Linked DNA regions of Sus scrofa. The protein of the gene in region 1 interacts with the protein of each later gene in a pairwise test. Links are inferred from orthologs where the notes say so. Each region holds a gene or a part of one and is shown in the gene's direction. Other genes may lie near its edges.

Region 1 (7,589 bases):
TAATGTCTTTTTTTTTGTGCTTTTTAGGGCCACACCTGTGGCATATGGAAGTTCACAGGGTAGGGGTCAAATTGGAGCTGCAGCTGCCAGCCTACACTACAGCCACAGCAACACAGGATCCCAGCTAAGTCAGTGACCCACACCACAGCTCACAGCAACGCCAGATCCTTGACCCACTGAGCGATGCCAGGAATCAAACCTGAATCCTCGTAGATATTAGTTGGATTCATTTCTGCTACGCCACAACAGGAACTCCCTATTTTTTTCCTCATTCACTGATAGGCCTCCATGGCTTAGATCATGTCTTGCACATAGTAGACACTCAATAATTATTTGTTTAATTATTTCATAAAGTAATCACTCAGAACTAGATCATAGTAGTGAAGAACTTATATTCTGCATTACTGGAAACTCATTTTTAAAAATTTAATTTTGAATAGGTAAAATATACAATAGGATACATGTTGAAAAGTCTCCCACTTTGCCTTCCCCGAGGAACTTAAGTTGCCTTCTTAGAGATAATCACTGTTGTCGGTTTCTGATGTATTTTTCCAATGATATTTTAAGGATTCACAAGCACATACGCAAGCATATTCCTTTCTTCCTTCACAAATATGTTGGTACGCTACACACAATATGGACTGAACAGTGATTTTTTAAAGTAAAGTTTTTCCTTTGGAATAATTTTGGATTTACAGAGAAGTTTCAGAGAATTTGAATATTCTTTATTCATTTCTAAGGTCAGCATCTTACCTAAACAGTACCCTGTCAAAACTAAGGAATTAACATTGCTACAATACTATAAACTAAATTACAGAATTTATTCAGATTTTAATAGTTATGTCCTTTTGGTTCTAGGGTCCAATCCAGGATATCACATTGCTTTTAGCACAATGCTCTTTTTCCCTTAAAATGTATTTTGAGGATTGTCTCCTATCAGTCAGTATGAGGTTGCCTCATAAAATGTAAAAATGCACTGAAAGTGGAATTTCAGGGCCAGTGACTACATGCATTTAAAAATCATCAGGAGTTCCCGTCGTGGCGCAGTGGTTAACGAATCCGACTAGGAACCATGAGGTTGCGGGTTCGGTCCCTGCCCTTGCTCAGTGGGTTAACAAGCCAGCGTTGCCGTGAGCTGTGGTGTAGGTCGCAGACGCAGCTCGGATCCCGTGTTGCTGTGGCTCTGGCGTGGGCCGGTGGCTACAGCTCCGATTCAACCCCTAGCCTGGGAACCTCCATATGCCCCGGAGTGGCTCAAAGAAATAGCAAAAAAGACCAAAATAAATAAATAAATAAATAAAAATTATCAAACATCTCTTCCCCAAAGAAGTTAGCATACCCATCTAACCAGTCCACTTGTGATTTGAGTGTTGTAAATTTCTTTAAAGTTCCAAGATTAACATTGGGGACTGAATGAAGGTGATAAGCATAAGGTATTCAAAAATTTTTCACACTTCAAAATAATTATTTTTAATGTGCCGGCATAAATACACATAGCATTGCACGATTTATGCATTCATTATACCAGTAATTCATTGTGCCACGACCCACATGTATAGTTGGTTCCTCTTAGAACCACTAGGGGGCTCTGCTGGAAGGGTTTTACAGCTTATGTTAGTCCCTTCAGGGAAATTTTCCCAGATGTTTTAGAATAATGAACTCTTAAAACTTGAGAGAGATCATCTTATCCAGCTTCCTTATTCTGCAAAATAGGAAACCAAGGTTGGCCAAGAGAGCTGAAATGGAGGAGAGCTGGAATTAAAAATCCCTTCTTGGTTCCCGTGGCAGTAGTTCAATAAGTTCATTTTTGCCAAGTGCCTCCGTGAGTGGTTCACTCCAAGTGCTTACTTTCTTTTTCAGTGCCACAATTTCAGTAATTTTTGCTGAGACGGTGATTTCGTGATATTCTTCTAATAGGATACTTTACTGATTGGTTAAAGTATCCTATTAGAAACATAGTGAAAGAAGTGACTTTAATATAACTTCTAAATAAACATAATTACTTATTACAAAATGTTTTCTATTCAAAGCACCTCTCAGCATCAAAACCATATTACCTAGGAGTTCCTTTGTGCTGCAGTGGGTTAAGGGTCTGGCCTTGTCACTGCAGCGGCTTGGGTCACAGTTATGTCGAGGGTTCGATCTCTGGTCCAGGAACTTACAAATGCCGCAGGCTCGGCCAAAAGAAAAAAACACTCAAAACCCCCCCAAATCCACAACCATATTACTTATTGGAAACTTTAGCAACCGCTTTCAAATTTACTTTCCATTTAAAACATTTTAGTCTTATCGTTACTCATTTATTCATTCAATATTTATTAAGGGCCTTAATAGGCACCAGGCACAGTTGTAGATCCTAGGTTTAAGTAAGTAAAGCTGCCCTTCTCGCCCAAGAAACATCTACTACTCCATTTTTCACTTTAATATATAAACTATTTTCACATGTTCAGTGGTTCCCACTGTGTGGCTCCAGAAGCAGCGGCAGGAGCAGCTGCATCTGGGAACTTGTTACAAATGCAAATTATTAGGCCCACCCTATACTCTAGGAATGGGGCCCAGCAATCCGTTTTCTTTTTATTTTTTAACAAGTTATTCAGGGATCCTAATGTACATTCGAGTTCCAAAACTATGGTTTTAGTTCCAGGGCTTGGTATTAATTACCTAAGCAGGTCAAAGATCAACACCTGGCTTCTAAATTCCATGGAGTACTGGTCTCAAATAAAATTGATGAGACCCATACTTAACTTTATAATTTGTTGTACCTGTTAAGATCCTGGAATGATCGTAGTAATAGCAGCACCGTAAGAGCTTCATAACAAAAATGAACCTCAGTGCATTTGCCGGGCCTACACCAAGAAAAAATAGGCCAGACTGAATTCCAGGACAGTGTTTTCAGACACTAAACACAGGCAGGCACACTAAGCCTGTGGGTTCTGGGTCTGGCTGAGTCAGGGCGGCGCTCCAAACCGAGTGGAGCCGCGTGAACCCGTCAGGCTGGACTCGAACCTTCGGTTACAGGCCACGGTCTGGAAGCCTGGACCATACACCTGGTTCGAAGAGGGGCAGAGACGCCTGAGAGGACCGAGGAGGCCGGGGCAGCGCTGACCAGCGCGGAAGCCGCACCCTCCAGGCCTCAGACGCCGGCAGGGCGGAGCCACGCGGCCGCAGCTCGGGCAGAGACGCGCGGCGCGGGGCGGCGCGGCGCGGGTTCGCAGCTGAGGCGTATGGGGCTACAACGGGAGCGGCTGCGCCGCCCGGTCAGGTCAGCGTCGTGCGCAGGCGCGGACCTGGCGCCATTTTGGTGGCCGGGCGCGGAGGTGATTCCACACTGAGGAGAGCGCGGCGGCCGGAGTGGCAGTGGCAGCGTTCGTGTGCTCTGGTGTGAATCGCCGAGGGAGGAGGCGGTGGAGGAAGAGGTGGCGGCGGTGGCGGTGGTCGTAGCGGTGGCGGAGGAGGCGGGTACGAATCAGCTGCGGGCGGAGACATGGCCAACATCGCGGTGCAGCGAATCAAGCGGGAGTTCAAGGAGGTGCTGAAGAGCGAGGAGGTCAGAAATGAACTCCCGAACGTCCCCCACCTCAGCCCATGGCGGGAGGGTCCTTCCACTGGCGTCCCCAATATCCCTAGTAACGCCCGAGTGGCCCTCTTTGCGGCCGCCCTTCTGCCTGTGGGGAAGCAGCAGTCTCCCCCTCCTTCCGCCGCCTTCCCCTCCCCTTCCAGGGCCCTGGGATGGACGGTCTCGCGGGCGGGTGATCTGGAGAGGAATCAGATTGGGGGGGGCAGATGGAGAAGGGGGCGCTTAGACGCGGGGTGTGAGCTCTTGAAAGAGCCCCTAGATAGTGGCAACAGCTGGAAGTGTGGTTGTAGGGTGGGGAGTGAGCAGGCCGAGCCTGAGAAAACCCGGGAAGTAGGTTGGGGGAAGGGGAAAGGTGGTAACTGGATCCCGAGAGCTGCGCTGCTCAAAGGCCCTCACTTTTAAGGGTATTCTGGGTTGTAGCCGATCTGGCCGCCGCTGTCCTTTCCTTAGGGAAGGAGCGATGAGAGTTCCTAGGTATTGATGAAAGAAGGCCGTTCAGAGTTACTCCCTTTTAGTTGGGTGTTGGAAGAGAGAGCAAGACATAATGGGGTACTGTCTATATTGTTTAAGTGGGGGATAAGGGCATTGCCACTTGAGATAGGAAATTAATTCCATGTTAGAGAATTATCTCATTTCCACTTACCCCCAAATCCTAGGCCTCTTTTTTGTAGGCACCTAAAGCTTTTTGACTAGGTAAAGGCAGGTTGTTTGGTGTGTTAAAGACATTTAAATATTTATAGCTGGGATTAGGACATATAATGGAGTGTATGAGTAGCTTATTTTAAAATGTTTACAAGTTACAGATCAGAGTCTGTTTTAAGACATTGCCTCTGTGACACTGCTGTGTTGTGCCATGAAACTTCATTATGATGTCCCTCATAGTTAACTTGATTCTTACTATTGAAAAACAGTGCTATTAAAAAAAACATGAGGTTTCAGCAGATTAATACATTGTTATATCTCCTTATTAAACATGACATTTCAGCAGATTAATAAATACATTGTTATATCTCCTTATCCCAACATCTATCTGAAAGGATTAAAAAGTTTTTTTGTCTCAAGCTCCTCTTGAGTCCTGTAGAACACTCTAGTGTTGGCCACATTTATTAATATGTTTTAAATGTTTTAGTAATTTAGTAATTTGACTCAATTATGAATCAGTGTAATTTTTCATACCCAAATCAACGAGAATGCTAGGTTGTTTTTCCTTGTTGGATTCAACAAAGAAAGATTGAGCATATTGAATGGTTATTTTCAAAATATCACACACCATTATTGAAAGTATCATTACTATATGTGTTTTTCTCTTATATCAATACTTTGACGAGCTCAGTGATTTGTGAAATTTAGCATTCTAAGTATGTGATGAATTCTGGATATAAGTCTGATAGCACTTGAACTATATTTGTGCCACCGAGTCTTTCCAATTAGACTTGCAGAAAATTCTTTAAAATTACTAAAAAATGCCAAACACCAGCAGATTTATTGAATGTAATAGTTATGTGAGTAATAATTGGTTTTACCGAGCATGTGTATGAACTCTGACCTCTGTATTTGTTCAGGTGCCAAAACTCTGAATGGAAGGATGACTTTGTATTTTTGTGGTACATTGTAGAAATAGAGTCATAAATGCTTGTACTGACAATACAATGAAACAATGATTCTAAATTCTTGTTTAATAAGAAAATATATTCCAGGATAGTTGACATATATATTCCTAATAGAAGATTGCGGGTAATATTGCTAGTAGCCTAAAACATTTCTCTAATATGGTTGTACAAGCCTGAAATATAAGATTTTAACGCTTTATTTTCTGTTACTTAAAAGTGGTAAGTACTGTTCTCGTAATTCATATGATCTGATTGCATATTGTGAGGTGACTTTTCACAATATTCTTAGTACTTAAATTGAAGCTTAAAAGAAATCTTGTATTGCTTTAGTAATGCATATTGTTAAAATTACATGTAAGGGATGATGAAATCTTGCTGTCAAGTAAGTGTTTCAGAGGAAGAAAGTAGAAAATACAAACATTTTATTTTTTTAACAAGAGTGCCTTTATAAATCTGAAAGGAAACATCTTCCAGAAAGTAAGTTGCAAAGAACATTTAGAAAAGGGTCAGGTAATTTAATTTTGGAATATAACCAATAAATAGTTTTATTTTCACCAATATTTTATTTCATTGATATTTTAATAAGCCCAGTTCTATAATTGGATTATATTATTTTCAACTCATTGAAGAACTTATAATACAGTCCATGTATTTCTTTTTTAATGTATGTAAAGGCAATATTTGAATGGCTTGTCAGATAGTCAAGTATTTCCTCATGTCACCTATGTAAATCTTCATTTTACTAAAGTTTATTTCATATGGTTGTGCTTACTAGGAATGGTTTAAGGACTCCTCTCCAACCCCGCGCCTTTTTAAGTGCCTTTGTGAAAAGATAACTGACATTTGCTGAATTCTGGCTCTAAGAAGTTGTAAGTGGCCATTCTTGGAGTGTGTTGTTAAAATATAGCCTCCCAGATCAGTGTGAAAAGCACAGTGCAGAATAGTGGGAGGAGGCCACCATTTCTGGGGAGATACGTGTATTTGTTTGTATAGGTGAAAGGATTAATGAGAAATTGGTAGTGTTGATTGCTTCTGGGTGGGGGACTTGGGTGTCCCGGGCAACTGGCATCAGAAGATCCCTCTTAGGAGTTCCTCTGTGGCTCAGCAGGTTAAGGATCCAGCATTGTCACTGCAGTGGCTGGATTGCTGCTGTGGCATGGGTTCAGTCCCTGGCCCAGGAACTTCTGCATGCCACAGGTGTGGCCAAAAAAAAAAAAAAAAAAGATCCTGGAGTTCCTTTTGTGGCTCATCAGAACCGAATCTGACGAGCATCCCTGAAGATGCAGGTTCGATCCTTGGCCTCGCTCAGTGGGTTAAGGATCTGGCATTGCCATCAGCTGTGGTGTAGGATCCCAGGCTCTGATCTGGTGTTGCTGTGGCTGTGATGTAGGCCGGTAACTGTAGCTCTCATTTGACCCCTAGCCTGGGAACTTCCATATGCTTCAGGTATGGGACTAAAACGACCGAAAAAACTGGAGCCTGATTTGTATTACTGATTAAAGGATTTAAACACAACCTAACTTGTTAGTTTAAGCATTAAAATAAATGTTACGTGTAATTAAAATTTTGCTTGCATTTCAATATGCAAAATACTTTTAAGAGTTCCTGTTGTGGCACAGTGGGTTAAAGGATCTAGCATTGCTGCAGCTGTGGCATAGGTTGCAGTTGCAGCTCCAATTCAGTTCCTGGCTTGGGAACTTCCTATGCCACGGGTGCGGCCATTAAAACAAACCCCCAAATATTTTTAAATTCAAAGCTCAGTGAAATAGGCGTTCCCTTCGTGGCTCAGCGGAAGCGAATCTGACTGACTAGTATCCGTAAGGATACATCTTCAGTCCCTGGCTTCTCTCAGTGGGTTAAGGATCCAGCATTGCTGTGAGCTCTGGTATAGGTCACAGACATGGCTCAGATCTTGTGTTGCCATGGCCGTGACATAGGCCAGTGACTACAGTTCCAATTCCAGTTCGACCCCTAGCCTGGGAACCTCCATATGCCGTGGGTGCAGCTCTAAAAAGACCAAAAAAAAAAAAAGGCTCAGTGAAGTAAAACACCCTTAAATCAGTGTACATACTTTTTTGCTTGTTCTTGTGTATGGTACCTGCAGGTTTTTTTCATATTGTAGCTTCGCTTTGCTACATTTCTAGGATCCTCAAGGAGTATTTAAATCAACGGCATTAACAAATTGATTTTTTGAAAACTACTATTGTATAAGTTTTTCTTAAGCATTTTAATGGATTTTTGTATTGTTATTTTACGTTTTATATATTTGATCTAGATTATTCTGTATAGAACTAGTTGCAGATCTTCAGAAGAAAGTCTCTTGGTTTCTGTAGACCATGGTTTTTCCAACCTTGGCACTATTGACATTTGGGGCATATAATGAATTCTTTGTTGTGGGTGGT
Region 2 (7,429 bases), on another chromosome or scaffold:
GGAGAAATGGAGACGGGGTGGGACCGAGTCGTGGACCACGCTCAGGAGCGGGTCGTACGGCGGGACCCAGGACAGTGGTAGAAACAAAACGAGGACGTTTCCGAAGTTTGCCCTTCTACTGAGATATGAGGAGTAGAGGCTAAGAAATGACCAACCCAGAGACACCCAAAGCCACACTATTGCTGTAGCTCCAAATTCTCTCCTCATATTTCCTTAACCTTTTCCCCATCTCTCACGCTGCTTCTTTACCACTCTAGATCCTTCCTGGTCCCTAATTCTGCATACAGTTTAACTCACCCCAGGTGAAGAGACCACCTAATTTCTAGAAGGTTAGGGAAAGTGAATAGTCACTGGTCCAAGTTGGATTCCTGTAGGTAGAAAAAAATCATCCGACTGAACTTCTGGTTGAGGGAAGAAATTCAGGTCCAAACAAGTTAACCAGTTCCTACTCCAAATGAAACACTTTTCACGTGTGCCATAAATATATACAGGAATAATCATTGTTAACCCTAATCATTACATGGCCACTTGTCTCTCAACACATAGACTTAATAAATTTATTCTCTTGGGTCCTCTGTGTGTGTGGGGGGGTCCACAGGAGGGGCTAAGGGGATAGAGAAATCAACTATTTTCGTGGATAAAAGTGGTGATGTTTTAAGTGGAGTAGAGGACCAGCCTTCTGGTTTATAAATCTCTTACATGCATTTGCAATTCTTTTAAGGCTTCGTTTGAGGAAGTTTTTGATTGCCTCTTTACTTTTAATTCCCAGCCACTCCAGAACCTATTATTTGGAGGTACAGTACATCCAAGGAATTAGTTATTGATGTTGATTTCAGAAGACTCCAGTCATTGCTGAATACTAGAATAGACATGTCAGCTGTCTTTTCAAGAAGTTCTTGCCCTGGGCTCAGTAATAGAAATAGACTTTCTAGTACAGTTGCCATGAATTTATCACTTTCTAGCAGTTCCAAAAGTCCAAATGCACACAAATAGAAATGAGTTGTTGTATGAATCATTTCATTCCGAAAAGATAGCACACTTCCTCTAGGCTAGCCTGCTAAAAGGAAGAATAATTCCAGACTTCTGAAAAAAAGAGGTTGTTACCCTTGCCTAACTCACTCCATTTATTACCGTTTGAAAGAGTGAGAGAACAATGCCAGAGAATCAAGCTTAGGTTCCAATGGGCTATTGTAGTAAAACTCTTCTGTAACATTACGCTTTAATGCATACTTAAGGAACCTTAATTAGGAGTTCCTGCTGTGCTGTAGTGGGTTAAGGATCTGGCATTGCTACAGCTGTGGCATAGGTCACAGCTTCAGCTGGGATTCGATCCCTGGCCCCAGGGAACTTCCATATGCCACGGGTGCAGCCAAAAAAGAAAAGAAAGAAAGAAACCTTAATGCTTGACTTTTATGGCACATTCCACTTTCTGAAACTCCTTTCTCATCCATTAGAAAAAATATGTCGGGGAGTTCCCATTGTGGCGCAGCGGACACAAATCCTACTAGTATCCATGAAGATGCAGGTTCAATCCCTGGCCTTGCTTGGATTGCCATGAGCCATGGTGTAGGTTGCAGATGCAGCTCTGCTTCAGAGTTGCTGTGGCTGTGGTATAATTGGCCGGCAGCTGTAGCTCCAAATTGACCAGTAGCCTGAGAACTTCCATATGCTGTGGAAGTTCTTTTTTTGGCCCTAAAAAGCAAAAAGAAAAATGTGTTGGAGTTCTTTGGTGGCTCAGCCAGTTAAGGATCTGACATTTTCACTGCTGTGGCTTTGGTTCAGTCCCTGGCCTGGGAACTTCCACCTGCCATGGGCACAGCCAAAAAAGATAAGTATGTCCAACCAGGAATTCATTGGTCTGGAACTATTGGTTCTAAGACACAAATGGAATGAAACAGAATCAGGAGAAGTACTTTGGGCTAAAGTTGAAAGGGGCCTCTGTTTCTAACAAGAGGAAGTGATAATAGACAAGAGATTGAGGGTTATATGTCAGTTTGCTGCAGAGAAAAAAAAAGTTAATGTCTGGGAGTCACAAGTTTTGGAAATGGAGAAACAAAAGAGCTTGACTAGTGGGAGAGAAGATGTAAAATACCACGAAGGGACTAAATCTGCAGTTAGCGTTTAACATGGACGTACATGTCAGGTCAGGGATGCCAAAAAATTAAACCTCCAATTAACATTTTTCTTTCCTCTTCCCCCTTCCTAACTTCAAGTTAAATAATGGCAGAGACAAGTCTGTTAGAGGCCGGGGCCTCTGCAGCCTCCACAGCTGCAGCGCTGGAGAACTTACAGGTGGAGGCAAGTTGTTCTGTGTGCCTGGAGTATCTGAAGGAGCCTGTCATCATTGAGTGTGGGCACAACTTCTGCAAAGCTTGCATCACCCGCTGGTGGGAGGACCTAGAGAGGGACTTCCCTTGCCCTGTCTGTCGAAAGACATCCCGCTACCGCAGCCTCCGGCCTAATCGACAGCTGGGCAGTATGGTGGAAATTGCCAAGCAGCTCCAAGCTGTCAAGCGGAAGATCCGAGATGAGAGCCTCTGCCCCCAGCACCACGAGGCCCTCAGCCTCTTCTGCTATGAGGACCAGGAGGCTGTCTGTTTGATATGTGCAATTTCCCACACTCACCGGGCCCATACCGTTGTGCCACTGGATGATGCCACCCAGGAGTACAAGGTAAGGAACCAGACACATGATGCTAATGCAGGGCAAGGGAGAGGAGTGCAGAGGGTGAGAGATTCCCTGGGTAGAAGATCATAAGTTCCTGAGGGCAAGATGGTATCTGGTCCTCACTCTGTATTCCCCTCAGAGCTACATACACTAGGCACACAGCACATCTGATCAGTTATCCTCAGGCATGAAGAAGAGCAGTGAGAGGAGTTCCCATCATGGCACAGTGGAAAGAAATCTGACTAGGAACCATGAGGTTGCAGGTTTGATCCCTGGCCTTGCTCAGAGGGTTAAGGATCCAGTGTTGCCATGAGCTATGGTGTAGGTCGCAGACACGGCTCAGATCTGGCATGGCTGCACCTGTGTCATAGGTCAGCAGCTGTAGCTTCCGTTGGACCCCTAGCCTGGGAACCTCCATATGCTGCAGGTACGGCCCTAAAAAGCAAAAAAAAAGCAATGAGAAATATCCCAAAATTTCTCTCTGACTTTTATAACACATCTGCGTATGTGTGGTCCTGGAATGTATTATGTTTTTCACAAGTGAATGAAACCGCATGGAGAAGATCAAATTTAGGAAGAACTGAAAGGTAGTCTGGTTTCTTCATTCTTTCCTCCTGCTCACATGCCCCTTGTTTAACCTAGTATTGGGCATAGATAACATCACTTTAGAATGACCTCCACCAGGCCAAGCTGAACCAGTCTGTTTGCATCTTGCCTGGATGATAGATAACATGGTATACGGATTAACTTACCACTGGGACCCAGGATACATGTTTGAGTAATAGGAACTCGAGATTTTAATGTCTTAGCACTTTATCAAGAACTTTGACCAATTATATTAGTAAAATCTTAGAAATAAGATTTTATGGTAGTTTCCAAAATAAGTAATCAAGATTGTATTATATTTGCAAGTGGTTAGAGTTGGATAGGACAACAATTTAAAGAAAGATATCAGGGGACAGGAGGTCACTTTGACAGTAATAGGCAGTTCCATGAGTAAGAAAATGAACAGGGCAGGAGAAGGACAGAGAGTTGGTGACAGCTGGACACTGTGAGATTCAGTGAAAGGAAAGTTTGGTGAACAAAGAAAGTGATATGGAGACAGGTTGGTGGCAGGAAGAGGGACCTGTAGGAAATTGACACCCCAAATGACAGACAAGGCAGTTGCATCAAGAGGTGGTAAGAGATGGATAGGAAGCAAAACAAATGATTTAAAACAAATGGGTTAGTTTCTGAACATAGGATGTACCAGATAATCCCAAATGCCATTCTCCCACTTTGCACCCCTCAGGAAAAACTGCAGAAGTGCCTGGAGCCCCTGGAGCAGAAGCTACAGGAGATCACCCGCTGCAAGTCCTCTGAGGAGAAGAAGCCTGGCGAACTCAAGGTAAAGGCAGGAGATCCATTTGGGCTGCTCTACAGGCAGTTAACCAAACATTAACCACACATTATTTAACCCCCCCAGTTCTGGTTCCTTAGAAAAATGCTATTCTCGGAGCTCCCGCTGTGGCACGGTGGGTTAAGGATCCCTCGTTGTCTCTGAGGCAGCAAGGGTTCAATCCCCGGCCCAGTGCAGTGAATTAAGGATTCATCGTTGCCACAGCTGTGGTGTTAGGTTGCAGCTGTGGCTGAGATTCAGTCCCTGGCCCAGGAACTTCTATACGCGGCCATAAAAAGAAAGAAAAAGAAAAATGCTGTTCTCTCAGAAATGATGGTATTTTTATTAAGCTTGATTGTCATTAAACATTGTACTTAGATTAATTGTCATGGATTAAGTATTGAGAAAGATGGAAGAGGTGAAGGACAGAATATCTTATATCTGTGGAGTTGAGGGAGTTCATGCCTGTTGGTCTCCTTTTCTTTGTAAGGCAGGGAAGAAGGCTCTCTGCTGAGTGGGCAGGGATAGGAGTTTCTTAGAGGGATTGAGGCAAGAAGAATGTGGAAGATGCACTCGGGAGGAAGGATGGAGGAGCTGCCCAGTAACCTCTAGACCACATTCTCTTAACTCAAGTAAACTCAAAAATGCTAGATGAGGTTAGTTTCTAGGATAGTCTTCCTTTCCCCATCCTCTACTGTAGGATCCTATTGGTGAAAACCACTGCTTATGTAGCCTTTCTGGAACCTTTAGAAATTGGCTCTTTTAATTTGCATACAGTTTTGCATCTCTTCCATAGCATTAACATATTTGTAGCATGGTATTTTGGTATCTGTCCTATTTCTTCTATTGGACAGTGAGACATGTATTAATAGTAGCAGTAATAATAACTAGTATTTATTGAGCCCTGAGCATTAATTCATTAGGTATCCAAGACATTCCAAACTTTCAGGATTGTGTTAGGTCTTAGAGTTCTGCCCGGATTGAAGTTCTAAGAATTCAGGCTAGACTTGGCTCAAATGGGACGTAGAGAAGGTACAAGATAAGAAGAAGGGAGTCCAGGAAGTCATATTTGGCAAGAGTGAACTTAGAGACCCTGTAAGGTAAGTATTGTTATCCCCAGTTTACACAGGAGGAAACAGAACTTGATAAGTGACTAGTCCAAGATCATATAGCCAGTGTGTGGCAAAACCAGGGATGCAAATTCTTTGTTTTTTTTCTTTTTTTAATGTGAGTTGCAACATTTATTTCAGGTTCTCTCTTGTTTTGTTGTTGTTGTTGTTTTTGTTTTGTTTTGTTTTTTCCTTTTTTGCCACACAGGCAGTATGTGGGAATTCCTGGGCCAGGGATCAAACCTACACCACAGAGCACAGCAGCAGCCAGAATCTCAGTGGTGAGAATGTAGGAGCCTCAACCCACTAGGCCATCAGAGAATTACCAGGGACACTAATGCTACATGAATCAATAAATATTTACTAAGGAGTTGCCATCATGGCTCAGCAGTAATGAACCTGACTAATATCTATGAGGACATGGGTTCAATACCTGGCCTCACTAAGTGGGTTAAGGATCTGGCACAGCCATGAGTTGTGGTGTAGGTTGAAGATGTGGCTTGGATCTAGCATTTCTGTGGTTATGGTGTAGGCCAGCAGCTGCAGCTCCGATTCCACCTCTAGCCTGGGAACCTCTATGCCACAGGAGCAGCACTAAAAAGACCAAAAAAAAACAAAACGAACAAATAAATATTTACTAAGCGTCTAGTATAGGCCAAACCCTGTCTTTGATACTGGGGAACAACGATGAGCAAAAACACAGTCCCTACCGTCCTTCAGCTTATAGTCAAGTGGAGAAAATAGAAATGACATAGCACAAAAAGCACAGTTGCAAATTCATAAGGAGACAGTGTAGAAACTTAACCTCATCAAGGACTTCCAGAAGAGGGGCTCTCCTGTGATGCAGCAGGTTAAGGATTTGGTGCTGTCATTTCAGTGGCTTGGGTTACTGCTGCGCTTATTTATTCCCTGGCCCTGGAATTTTCGTATGCCTTGGGCACAGCCAAAAAAAAGTAAAAGAGAGAGAAAGAAAGAAAAAAGATTTCTAGAAGAAATAATGAGTCGTTTTTGGAGTTGATATTTAGGGACCACAAAAAATTAAACACAGGTTTGAAATTAGTAGAAACACTAACTTTTTTAAAACAATGACAACATTTCAACAAGAAGTAAGTATTATTCAGTATTACTAAGTATTACCTTGGTCCTTTATACATTTTAACAAACAAGCATTTGAATTTTTTAGAACTTGAACTAATTTTGAAAAATTAGTTCATTTCGAAAAAAGTTCTTTGTCCTTTTGGAGGGTTCCCTAAGGAAATATGTGAAAATAAAGCTTATACCCTGGTTATTAGCTTCCTTCTTCCTGTTGATCACCTTCTTAAAGGAAAAGAATGGAGAGAAGAATAAAAATTTTTTAAATGTGCTAAATGTTTGAACAGAACTGTAGTGTCTTTTTAAAATGTAAATTATCATTTCAATGGTCTCTGAAACTATCAACCAACCAGCAACATTCCTTCAGAGACTTTTGAATTCTCCTTTCTCTCCCTCATGCCCACCTCCAGACACATAAACTCTTTTAGAAATAAATAATTCGTAATTAACCATGCAGAAATGAAAATTATGGATAAAGTAGCCTATCTGCTTTTTTTTTTTTTTTTAGGGCCACAGAGGTTCCCAGGCTAGGAGTCTAATCAGAGCTATAGCTGCCAGCCTACACCACAGCTGGAGCAACGAGAGCCGAGTCTATGATCTACACCACAGGCAACACCGGATCCTTAACCCACTGAGCCAGGCCAGGGATCAGACCTGCAACCTCATGGTTCCTAGTCAGATTTGTTTCCATTGTGCCACGATGGGAACTCGATATCCATATGATTTTTAAGGAGGCCGTCATGCCCAAATATGACATAACAACATAAGAGTAATTTATAACAAAATCTAGTGTGTGAATATTTGGGAAAGATACTGCAATGTAGTTTTATCCTTGTACCATCATCAACAATGCAACAAATACAAATTTACACTGAAGTAATTGTGTAGTAATGTTGACTCAAATGCCACAAGCAGTTTGGCTGTTGATAACAGTTTTTCAAAATGGTAAATAACTTTTAGTAAAGTTCTAAAAAATATGTAATTTTAATGATTTTTCACCTATTCCTAACAAATTCAGGTATATTAAAACCATATACAAATTACTCTGTTATTTATAAAGTGGCACCCCTGGTTCAGTCCTTGGCCCTGGAATTTCCATGTGCCACAGGTGCGGCCAACAACGAAAACACAGGCCTTCAAGTCCAGGACTCGTTTTTTAATATCCAGCAGGACTAGAGAAAAT

What was found. The genes of interacting proteins can lie anywhere in the genome.
Region 2: the proteins of UBE2K (region 1) and TRIM39 interact in binary tests that used the Homo sapiens proteins (3 or more experiments, as listed by UniProt). The link is inferred for Sus scrofa from reciprocal best matches to the Homo sapiens genes UBE2K and TRIM39.

The regions. Positions count from the first base shown.
Region 1 is NC_010450.4:30,884,510-30,892,098, forward strand, and holds the start of UBE2K (ubiquitin-conjugating enzyme E2 K), read left to right. Parts: upstream 1-3,484; coding exon 3,485-3,547; intron 3,548-7,589. UniProt on the Homo sapiens protein: Accepts ubiquitin from the E1 complex and catalyzes its covalent attachment to other proteins. In vitro, in the presence or in the absence of BRCA1-BARD1 E3 ubiquitin-protein ligase complex, catalyzes the synthesis of 'Lys-48'-linked polyubiquitin chains.
Region 2 is NC_010449.5:23,047,982-23,055,410, forward strand, and holds the start of TRIM39 (tripartite motif-containing protein 39), read left to right. Parts: upstream 1-2,220; coding exon 2,221-2,673; intron 2,674-3,958; coding exon 3,959-4,054; intron 4,055-7,429.